Caenorhabditis elegans: one gene and its partner. The protein of the gene in region 1 purifies or fractionates together with the protein of each later gene. This does not show direct contact. Each region holds a gene or a part of one and is shown in the gene's direction. Other genes may lie near its edges. The genes, in order: mbk-2 and egg-5.

Region 1 (5,205 bases):
ACCAGGCTGCTGTTTTTTCTTTGGTTTTTGGTTTTACACGTGATAGAATTTAAGGTTTTCAGGCGTTCTTGTCTAGTGATTTATAGGCCGTAGGCTCGATACAGTCAAATATGCCTACCTGCCTCGAGTTAATTTCATTTTTCTAATAGGAAACACATTTTAAAGGTTATTTAAGTGAAACATAAAATAAACTTACGCAGTCATCCATGTGTTAATAAAAAATACGGCCTACATTCCTGCCTTGTTGTACGCTGGGGGTAGGTACGAGTCATTCGTTGGCAGGCAAATATGCCTACTTACCTCGGACCAACTCAATTTTGAAAATTGGAGAAAAAATTTTAAACACTTACGTGAAAGGTTAAACCGGTTTAGGCAGGGTAAAACCGGTTTAGGCTTTGTTAGGCTTGTGTTAAGGCTTGGGTTTAGGCTTGTGTTTAGGATTGGATTCAGGCTTGGGTTTAGTTTTTTTGTGCTTGCCTACCACATATTTAGTTAATTTTAGCAGAAGCTCTGGTTTTCATTTAGGCTTGCTTTTGCCAAGCAAATATGCCAATTTTCCTCGAGTCTACATACTATGCTAATTGGAAAATTTTTCAAAAAGTAACTTTGCGTGAAACCCAAAATAAACTTACACGGTCATCCACGTGGTATGAAATAAAAATAAATTGCCTTTGTTCAATTATTTTATTACTTTCAATTCTTCTCACTTTTTGCACATTTCGTTAACCGTCTCACAATCAGGAATCCAATGCCAGATAAGTTATTTGTACACAATTAAGCTTCAATAAGAGAGAATTCTCAGGTTTAATCTTAGGCTAGGGTTTAGGTTGCTATAGGATTTTAGATTTGCTATGGGCTTAAGCTTTTGTTTATGATTGGTGTTAGGCTAAGGTTCAAGATAGGGTTGGATTTAGGCTTGAGGCTTGGGGTTAGGCTTGGGTTTAAGTTTGGGTTTAGGCTTGGGTTTAAGCTTGGGTTTAGGCTTGGGTTTAGGCTTGGGTTTAGGCTTGGGTTTAGGCTTGGGTTTAGGTTCAGGTTTAGGCTCAGGTTTAGGCTCAGGTTTAGCCTCAGGTTTAGGCTTGGGCTTAACTTTGAGTTTAGACTTGGGTTTAAGTTTGAGTTTAGGCTTGGGTTTGGGCTTGGGTTTAGGCTTGGGTTTAGGCTTGAGCTTATCCATTCTTGGTCCCTATCCTCTATGCCTTCCCTAACTTCTATTTTTTAAATTTCAGCCTGTTTATTTCTAGACTCCCCTTTTTAATATTTCCTGCCGCTGATCATATGATATCCATATTTTTGCATTTTATATCAGACATCAAAAACTATTAGCATTAAGTTTTCATAAGGCATGCTTTGAAAACATTTGGAATGCGCAAAGATTATGGGAAGAAAGTTTTGGAAAAGTTCAGAAATTTCCCTTACAAGGGGAAGTTGAAAAAAAACCATTTTGGTCGGTGCCAGCTGATGCTCCTCTCGTGACTCTTGATAAGCCAATTGTTAGTCGTAAAAATGGGGAGAAGAACTTTAAAAGTGCGTAAATATCTAGTTATCTCGTTTTCTTATCACTGTTGTCATTGTGCATCTAACGTATTTCGGTTCACTAATAATAAGTTTCACGCTATTTTGTTTTTATATTATATTGTATTTTCAAAGCAAGTTCACTAAAAAGTTTTGCTCCATGCGTTCCAAGCATCCACTGCCTGCCTATCAATTTATCATCGTTCTCCACCCCGTTAGGTGTACCATTCAAAAAACGTTTGTTGCTCCGTACTCTATGTCTCCAATTCCCATATGCTCTTCCACAAACCCGCAACACAACACAAGTTTCTGCAAAAAAAAAATTTGGTGGATTCCTCCTAGAGAGTAAAAGAGAAACAGGGGGAGAAAAACGGACTCTTCCAACATCATTTGCCCCTTTTTCTTATCTGCTCCAACTTGTCCCCACGTTCGGTGAGGTGTTTCTCCCATTGATAACAAAATGTATTTGATCCGATTACCCTCTACTCGTCGTCAACTCTCTTATTACCCCCTACCACAAATTGTATTAAAAAGTACAAAAAATTTTTAGGAATTCTCTCCCAAACTTGCAGCAGTCTAGAGTAGTTGAAGCATGGCTGCTCTTGCCTCGTTCACACGTAACAGTCGAAGTTACGGGCAACAACCGATTGATGTTACACAACAGGTGGGTGTGCTATACCTCTATTAGTAGTGCATGTAATTATAGTTTCAAATTGAAATGGAGTTTGAAAATTTTTAAATTTCTCCTCTGAAAAAGTAAAGATATTGACTTTTTTCTGAACTTTTGTGTGATTTCTTAAATGTTCATTTTTGATATTACTAGTTATTATAGTTCTACTAGGATTATAAAATTCTAAACAAATTGCTCCTAAAATTCAAAAAAAATCATTTCAGGGTCAGCGAGATCGCAGTGTAATGAGTCTGGATGCACAAGGAAGATCAGTTTCACAGTGAGCTTTTGATTCTTTTTCTCTTCAAATTTTTTCTTCAATTTTCCCACTAAACGTATGTAGTTTAAAATATTGCAATTTCGAATTACTTTGAAGTTCTTAAGGAAATTTCTAGAAATATTCAAAAGTCGTGCCTGCAGCAGACGGTCATTTATTTTCCTTGAAAGCCCCCCCCCATTGACCACCATATGGATCCCATTAAACTTTACACCCTGTGGGGTCCTTGAGAAAACTTTTTGATGTTTTTTGTCCATTTATGCTTAACCTGATTAGTTGAAAAGCTGGTGTAAAGGGCCTAATTAGTTGGAAATTGGAACATGTTTTGAAAATCACAATGTATTATTGTAATAGAAATCTAAAGGCGGAACAAGGAAAAAAATCAATGAAAATTGAGATCGAGAACCCTTCTCATTCAATGAAGAGGTGTTTTCTTTTCAATAAAAAGGAGGAGTGGGGGGAGTATTTGTCATCAAGAGTACCCAAGAATGGTATACCAGCGATTTCACAATTAGATTCACAGTCAATCATTTCTTTTTTGATTCAGACCTGTTTGATTTTGCAATTTTAATCAGGATTCAATACATTTTTGTTAAAAATTTTGTTTTTCTCCCACTTTAATAGTTTCAAAACATTCATTTTCTGAAAACAGCTGTTTTAGAATACCTTGAAGCTTACATACTCTAAAACAAAACAGTTAGACCTAAGCTAACGTAGTTTATTGGCATTGGCGTTTGAGTAAGGCGGCCCCGTTGTCTAGTCACAATAGAAAGGGAGTAATGTAAATTGTTAAATTGTTGGTAGGTATATCCTTATGCCTGCCTGCCTGCCTACTGTTTGCTGATTTCCTTTATTTTAAGTTGAACTCTGGCCTTTAGTGTTCACCTCATGTAAGTTTACGCATATTTTATAGTAGACGTAGAGGTCGGTATTTTTTTGGTTAAAAAAAATTTTAAAAAAATCAAATCACTTCCTCAGCCACTTGCAATTTTAAGCGACTTTTCAGTAGAAACTTATGCTTCAATTGAACAATTTTTCAAATCCTATCTCTCGTCGATTTCTCACAATTTTGAATGTAACAACATTTTAAACGAGACACACAAAGTGTAAAAATGCTCAAAGAGTCAATCAGTGTTCCCTTGGCCTTTTTCTCCCTTTACCCTCTCTTCGAAGAAAAATGATAGGAAAATATCCGGGAAGGGAGAATTTAGTTGCACGTCATGATGTTCTCATCAGAAGTTTTTTCCTCCACTTTTTGAAAATGGAACTTTAATGACTCCTTTTGTGCTTGCCCCCTTAACCCTATCCAATTTCAAGACGTTTTCTGATTGTTCTTCGAAGTACGATTTCAATGTGTGTGAGAAGAGGAAAAATGAGATAGATTGTACTTGAAAGTAGACAATTTACAGAAAACGAACATTTTATGGTTTCTTGAAAACAGGTTGATTTTAGAGATTTTTAAGTGTCAAGAGATTTGTTCACTTGAACGAAATAATTATGGAACTTTTTGATCTTGTTAGATTTAGTTAAAAGAAAAATTCGCAAGCCTAAGAGCAAATGTGCAAAAATTTTATTTTGTTCGTTGTGATACAAATGTTGCAGAAAACTATTTTTCCTGAATTTCCATACATCAAGAAATTGACCAAGAAAGGGTTTTTCTACAAATTTTCAGTTTTAATTTTTTTAAACATTGTGAAGGTTCTGTTTGAAAAATTCAAAGTTTGCAAAAAATTTTGCCAATTCGCCAAACCTTGTGCTGAAGTTTTCAGAAAACTACGATATTTTTTTCCAAAAAAAAGCGTTCCTCACAAAAGTACCGTATCAAATGTTGGTCATCAAAAATCCGCACCGAATCTTTCCGATCTTTGTCTCTCTGTATCACTTGTGTTAGTCTTCAGTCCCGCTTTCCCCACCCTCCCCCAGATAAGGTTCTCGCGTTCCCCTATCTATCCCCACACACACACATTTTTATTTTAATTACAAGTACTAATTCGGTAGTGTTTTCTGTTTTCTTTACCTGTATGGTGGAGACTAGGAGGACCTTGCGGTCGGGAAAATGAGGCATCGTAATCAAACCAACCGAGGCAACACACACGCCGGGCCATGATGGAAACAACTCGTAAAAAACCCGTCTTTTCTATTCTTCATCGTTCTTCGCCTCTCTCACAGGGATTCCCTTTTTCATTAGTCGTTAGGAGAGGCTTTCCATACCTTTTATGATTGTATACAGTGATCTACAGATTCTTGAGATGTATGTACAATTTTTTTTTGTTTTTGATCTACCTGGTCAACTCGCAACGATCCTCCGCTAGCTGGCTTTGTGTGTTGTTTAGCACTTTCTGTAGTTTTAGAAATTACTTCCTATTGTGAATGACCAAATTTCCAGTTTTTCAGTAAAAATAAATACTTGTCCTATTTATTGCCAAAATGGTTGGAGCTGTAAAAACATACAGTTTTTGCAATTTTTTTTTTGGCTTTTCTCCGAGATGTCACAGTTTGCAATTTTTAAACTACGGTTTTATAATAGTTGTAAATCAAAAAGTTTACTGTAATTTTTTTTAATTCTCAGTTTTAATTATTAGTTTTTGACTTACTAACAAATTTCGGAGAAATTTTTTTTGATCCGAAACGATCTAACTTTTTCAAATTAAAATTTTTAATATTTGCAAAAATTAGTTCTACAAAACAACTACAAACCTGCTTGATTCTGAAATTTCAGCCAAGTTTAGCACTTTTGATCAAA
Region 2 (5,356 bases), on another chromosome or scaffold:
AGTTTTAGGATTTATAGAGTGATTTTTGTTTTCTTAAAGTTGAATTGATTTGTTTTGTTTCATGAATATCACATTTTTATTTATTTATTTTTCTTCCTTCAAATCACGTACCTGGTTCATCTGACCAAGTGATATTTGTTCACTTTTCTATTGAAAGAAAATAACCTGTTTCACATTGATATTCGAAAATTGTTAAAAATTCAGAATGACCGCCGCCACCGCTACCGCCAACGGAAATCACTCAATCGAGGATCCAGTCGTCATGAAAGTCCAGGCCGCTTCACCAATCCAGGAAACTGATTTTTTCGAGAATCTCTATCAAATGGAATGTTTTCGCACTGGGGAGTTCTACCTCAAATCTGGCCAGATGACTCCAATCTACATAGATCTTCGCAGAATAATGAGCTCTCCTCGTGTGCTCCGAATGGCTGCTCAAGCTATGTGTGAGAAAATTGTCGCCTCAAACCTCAAATTCGATTATGTTGTTGGAGTACCATATGCTGCCCTTCCACTTGCTACCGTCAGTTTTCAGAAATAATTCACACTAAAAAATGAGACTCAATGTTTTTAGCTTGTATCTGATATTCTCAATGTGCCGATGCTTATGAAAAGAAAAGAAGCCAAAGCCTACGGAACAAAGCAACTTATCGAAGGAGTCTATCAGCCTGGTGGTACAGTACTTCTTGTCGAAGATGTCGTCACATCAGGTGAATCAATTCGTGAGACAGCAGAAGCAATTCGCAATGAGAATCTGTTGGTCACTGATGCCATAGCTGTTTTGGATAGACAACAGGGAGCAACTGCCAATCTCGCAGAAGATAATCTTAACTTCCTCAGGTGAGGCTTTTTCGTTTTAATTAAAAATCAAATTTTTTCAGCTTTTTGACAATGGAGAAGATCCTCGACGGCCTGATCACGAAAAACGAGATGACCGAGGAACGAAAGCACGAGATTATTGCTCATCTTGCTAAACCTTTCTAAAAATTTCATTGTTGCACCCCATATTCTACCAATTTGTGAACTTGTTTTCTCATTTTCATAATATTCCAATAAACTTCCTTGTTAGCACACATGCATCGCATCACATAAAACAAGAAAATTGATGGACCAATTTAAAAAATGGAAAAAAGGTTTCATTAAATTTTTGTTTAGCGTTTTATGTGATGTTTTGTGTGTTTATATTTTCTTCTCATCACTTTCTACCATGTTTGCTGAATAATTTTCATTATTTTTTGGCTTGTTGATTCCTTCCCAAGTTGTGATATATCCTGGTTTAATTCTTCTTCCGCATGTCTTAATAATTTTTTTTTTTGGAATTTAGCTAAAGCATAATCAAATCTTCTCATGTTCTTTCCCTGAAACGATTTCAAGTGAATAAAACCTTTTCCAAATAGTGTTCACAAAGGATAAAACTCGCACCATCTATCATAGCTCAACAGTTCTCGCTAAGAATTGCAAGTCAGTCATTAATGCACATAAAACTTAATAAACTTTTAAAATCGGATTCAATTATTTTGCTCTACCGGATGACCCCAGCAGAGCGGTTCCAAAAATTAAAGTCGTTTGACACTTTCTTTCGAAAGGTCAGAACTCCAGCGTACCTTGAGTAACTGGGTTAAAACCGAAGATACCAACGAGTCCTCTCCTCTTACCCAAACGTGTGTACCGACACATTTCGAGGCAAGCGAGAAGCGACGAGTGTGTGTTGTCGAGGAGACGGAGACTGCGAAACAGCAGTGGTTGATGGTGCAGTGGGGAATAAGGGAGGCACAGCAGGACACTGGTTCGATCCCCACGAAGTGCATAATCAGATTTTCCGTATATTGAATATTTATAAACAATTTTTAAAAAATCTATTTTTAATTAAACATGCGTTTTCCGTTATAATGTGCGATTAAGTAAAGAAAAGTACGGTATGCAAAAAAAAAGTACGCAAATACACACATTATCTGCTACCGTACCTTTGTTCTACAATTTGTTCTACATTCTTGGGAGAGCGCGAAATTTTGTATTTTGTCCGCTCAGCGAAATGATTGCACTTGTTTTCTGGAAACTTCCGAAATTTTTTCTTTCTTTGTTCTCCTAAAACTTCGACTTTTTCCGTTCAGTTGTTTAAACAGTATTTTTCGCAGTTATTTTCTATTAAAAATCCGCGTATTCGTCTAATTTCCATTTTGTGCTCTCCCAAAATCGTTTTTCCTGTCTCTTCTGCCGTTTAATAAGCTTATTTATTTTCCAGGTATGGCGTTGAACAGCGAAGTGATGTTCCGCGAGCAAATCAATGCGATGCGCTCACAAGCTGGCCGGAAGCGAGCGACGTCGCTTCAAAGCTTCTGCTCCGGAAACACCGACGACTCCTCCGCGGATAGCACCGATAACATGGATATGATGGTGGATTATCCTCAACAAAAGGGAGTGAGCTGCATGAGAGCCAGATTCAACAGCGAGAGCACGCTTAGCAAGAGTTTCCGGAAGAAAGTGAAGAAGCTCGCTCAGAAGGACAGGTACTTTGAGATTCTTAAGTATTAGAAAATTAATATTTTATGTTGCAGAAGATCCAAGGAGCGTCTGAACGGAAACTCGGAAGAGGATGCGATTGAAGTCCCACGCGGTGCTCCGTCTACTTATGCAGCTCCATCGAAATTGCGGAAATCCAAAGCTCTCGACTGTCTTGTCTCCGAGAAACCAAAGGACGAAGGAAGAAGCGAGGATTCCGGGCATGGAGCCGACATTGAGATGGCAAAGGGACACTTCAACGATGTTCGGATGAAAGTATTTGCCGCCCGAACTGCGATGCAAGTGGAACCAGCGTTGGTCATGAAGACTCGGAAAGCATTGGAGATGAAGAATGCTGTCCTAGAAAATCATCAATCGCCAGGAGCTTTCTCTCTTCATGCAGCCTACAAAATTGCAGCTTCTGCAGAATCCCGTGTTGGATCGATTACTCCATGCAATAAGAAGGTGACAAAGGAAGCAATGGCTAATTTGATTCGTTCAAGTTATGATGACACCGAGATCACTCAAGAGCTGCTTTTCTCTTCAAAGTTCGACTCGAAATGGAAGGGTCGATACACAGACATCTACATGCGTCGGGATGAGAATGGAAAGAAGCCAAAGCGTCCAGTGAACGGTCAAGGATGGGTGATGCCGTTGAAAAGCATCTGTGAGAAGTTCGGAATCAACTCAACTTTCTTCACAAATCATCGCATCGATCTGAAATCCGCAAGAGATCAGGTGCTTCTGATGCGCCTTCTTTCACATGATCAAACCAGCACATGGATTTCGGATATTCATCCAGAAGCCGTCAAGAATGAGACACTGGCTGAATACCTACTTCGTGAACTCGACGCTTCTACGATGCAAAAGCGAGTTCAAGCTTTCAAGGCAAATGTTCTTGCTGACAGAGACCGAGTTCGTGTTGCTGGACAGTGTAAGAAAATAAATAATTATTTTCCTTAATTAATTAACTTTTTTTCAGTCTACAACAACATTCGAATCGGAAAGCGGATGTTTGGAGCAGCGAGAAAAGCGAAGTATCTGTCAACCATCATCGGAGGAATGGAGCGACGCTTTGAAATCCTCGAGAACTCTGTCAACCACATCCCATTCACTCACTCAGCTTCAGACAACAACCAGGAAAAGTGCCGTAATCCACGTGTTCACTGCAGGGATTCCACTCGAATCGCTCTCCAATTCCCACGCGGTCAGTATCTCGGAGATTTCATTCACGCAAATCGGATTTCTGGAAAGCCGCTGTTCAATGAGTTCATCATGACTCAAGCTCCAATGAAGAACACCGTTGATGATTTTTGGAGAATGGTTTGGCAGGAGGAAGTTCCATACATTGTGATGCTAACCAGCAGAAAGGAACCGGAAAGATGTGAATATTACTGGCCAAAATCTCCGTCGGATCCCGCCGTTACTGTTCCTGGTGGACTTCGAATCGAGAACTTTGGTGTCTATCAAGCTCCAGACCCATTGTTCCGTGTCACTCATCTTCGTCTCATTGGACCGGATCGCGAGGAACGTCACGTGGAACATTGGCAAGGAGACGTGAACAATTCATCGAATATGTACTCTCCATTAAATATTCTTCGTTTACTTCGCAACGCGTCGAAGCCAGTCGTTATCCATGATCATTTGGGAGTTTCTAGAGCGGCTTGTCTTGTTGCTGCCGAGATTGCCATTTGCAGTTTGCTCCGAGGGCCAACTTACAAGGTTTGTATCAGAATTTAGTGACTTTTTAAGTTGGAAATGGTGAAATCAATTCAATTAAACACATTTTCAGTACCCAGTACAACGAGCTGTCCAATTTCTTCGTCAGCGCCGTCCATTCAGCATCGAGACTCCCATGCAGTACATCTTTGTGCATCGTCTTGTTGCATTCTTCTTCCGTGACGTCATTGGAAGTGCAAAGGAGTTGGATGTCGATTATGAAAGATGGCTCCAAGAACGATCCGAACGCATGTTCCTTGATGATCTTGCTGCTCCAATTCCTGGCTATCGTTTGCTGTCTCCAAGAGCAGATCCAGACATTGTTCGAATGGTTGGAAGACCTGAAAGACCAAACTACAGACGGTATGTTTTATTTTACATATTAAAAAAATTATTCAAATTGAATTAATTCTCTTTCTAAAAATGTTTTATTTTTCAGTGAGGCACCCGATTGTGTTGGAGAGATGCCGAACAAGGTGGCGGCTGTCGACGGGATCCTTTCACCAGCGAAGAGCGTCTTCGAATTCTAATTTTCATGTATACTAAACCCCCACACTCACTATTATTATTTTTATTTATAACATTCTGTGAAATATTGCATGATACTGTATAAAATGCATTTTAACTGTCAGCTAATGTTTTCGAATTCAACACCTAATTGGCAAGCTGAAACGAAAAATCGGAATCGGCAAAAAATAAAAAAATAGTGACTTCACAATGAAGGGGAATTGTCGGAATCCTGATGACAACAATAACGATTAAAAATGTTTTAATTTATCAGTTTATAGAGGAGAATATTTTGGCGAGGGAAAATTTAGAGACTGCGTTTCGGATTGCAAGATATACTTGCGAAAATTCTGAAAGAGCACAAAATTTGCAACGAAATGGCTACAGGGATTTTTGAAAAATTTAATTTGGAGTCAGATATGAATTTTCAAAGTTAGAAAAATCTACTAATTTCTGGAATTGAAAAAAATTTTGATTTAAAATTCAGAAAGAGCTTGAAATTTGACACAAGTCCCCGAAGAAACATTCTGAAAAAAGTTAATTTTAAGTGAGTTATGAATTTTCAAAGTTATGAAAACCGGATAAATATCCTAAAAAATGATTGGTTATGGTGCATCTAAATAAGTTCGGTCAA

Evidence for each region.
Region 2: the proteins of mbk-2 (region 1) and egg-5 purify together in Caenorhabditis elegans (affinity purification with western blotting, with the first as the bait; one study listed by BioGRID). This does not show direct contact.

The regions. Positions count from the first base shown.
Region 1 is NC_003282.8:13,007,051-13,012,255, forward strand, and holds the start of mbk-2 (Dual specificity tyrosine-phosphorylation-regulated kinase mbk-2), read left to right. Parts: upstream 1-2,107; coding exon 2,108-2,179; intron 2,180-2,409; coding exon 2,410-2,465; intron 2,466-2,586; exon of another isoform or gene 2,587-2,607; intron 2,608-5,205. UniProt on the Caenorhabditis elegans protein: Required for oocyte-to-zygote transition in which it phosphorylates oocyte proteins, including mei-1, oma-1, oma-2, mex-5, and mex-6, modifying their activity and/or stability following meiosis.
Region 2 is NC_003279.8:4,168,473-4,173,828, reverse strand, and holds egg-5 (Inactive protein-tyrosine phosphatase egg-5), read left to right. Parts: upstream 1-2,239; 5' UTR 2,240-2,241; coding exon 2,242-2,504; intron 2,505-2,552; coding exon 2,553-3,430; intron 3,431-3,478; coding exon 3,479-4,218; intron 4,219-4,288; coding exon 4,289-4,578; intron 4,579-4,654; coding exon 4,655-4,745; 3' UTR 4,746-4,845; downstream 4,846-5,356. Other genes in the region: R12E2.11 (Orotate phosphoribosyltransferase), read left to right, coding at 206-520, 572-837, 879-981. UniProt on the Caenorhabditis elegans protein: Inactive phosphatase which acts redundantly with egg-4 in the oocyte-to-zygote transition. Required for polarized cortical actin cytoskeleton rearrangement in the oocyte before and after fertilization.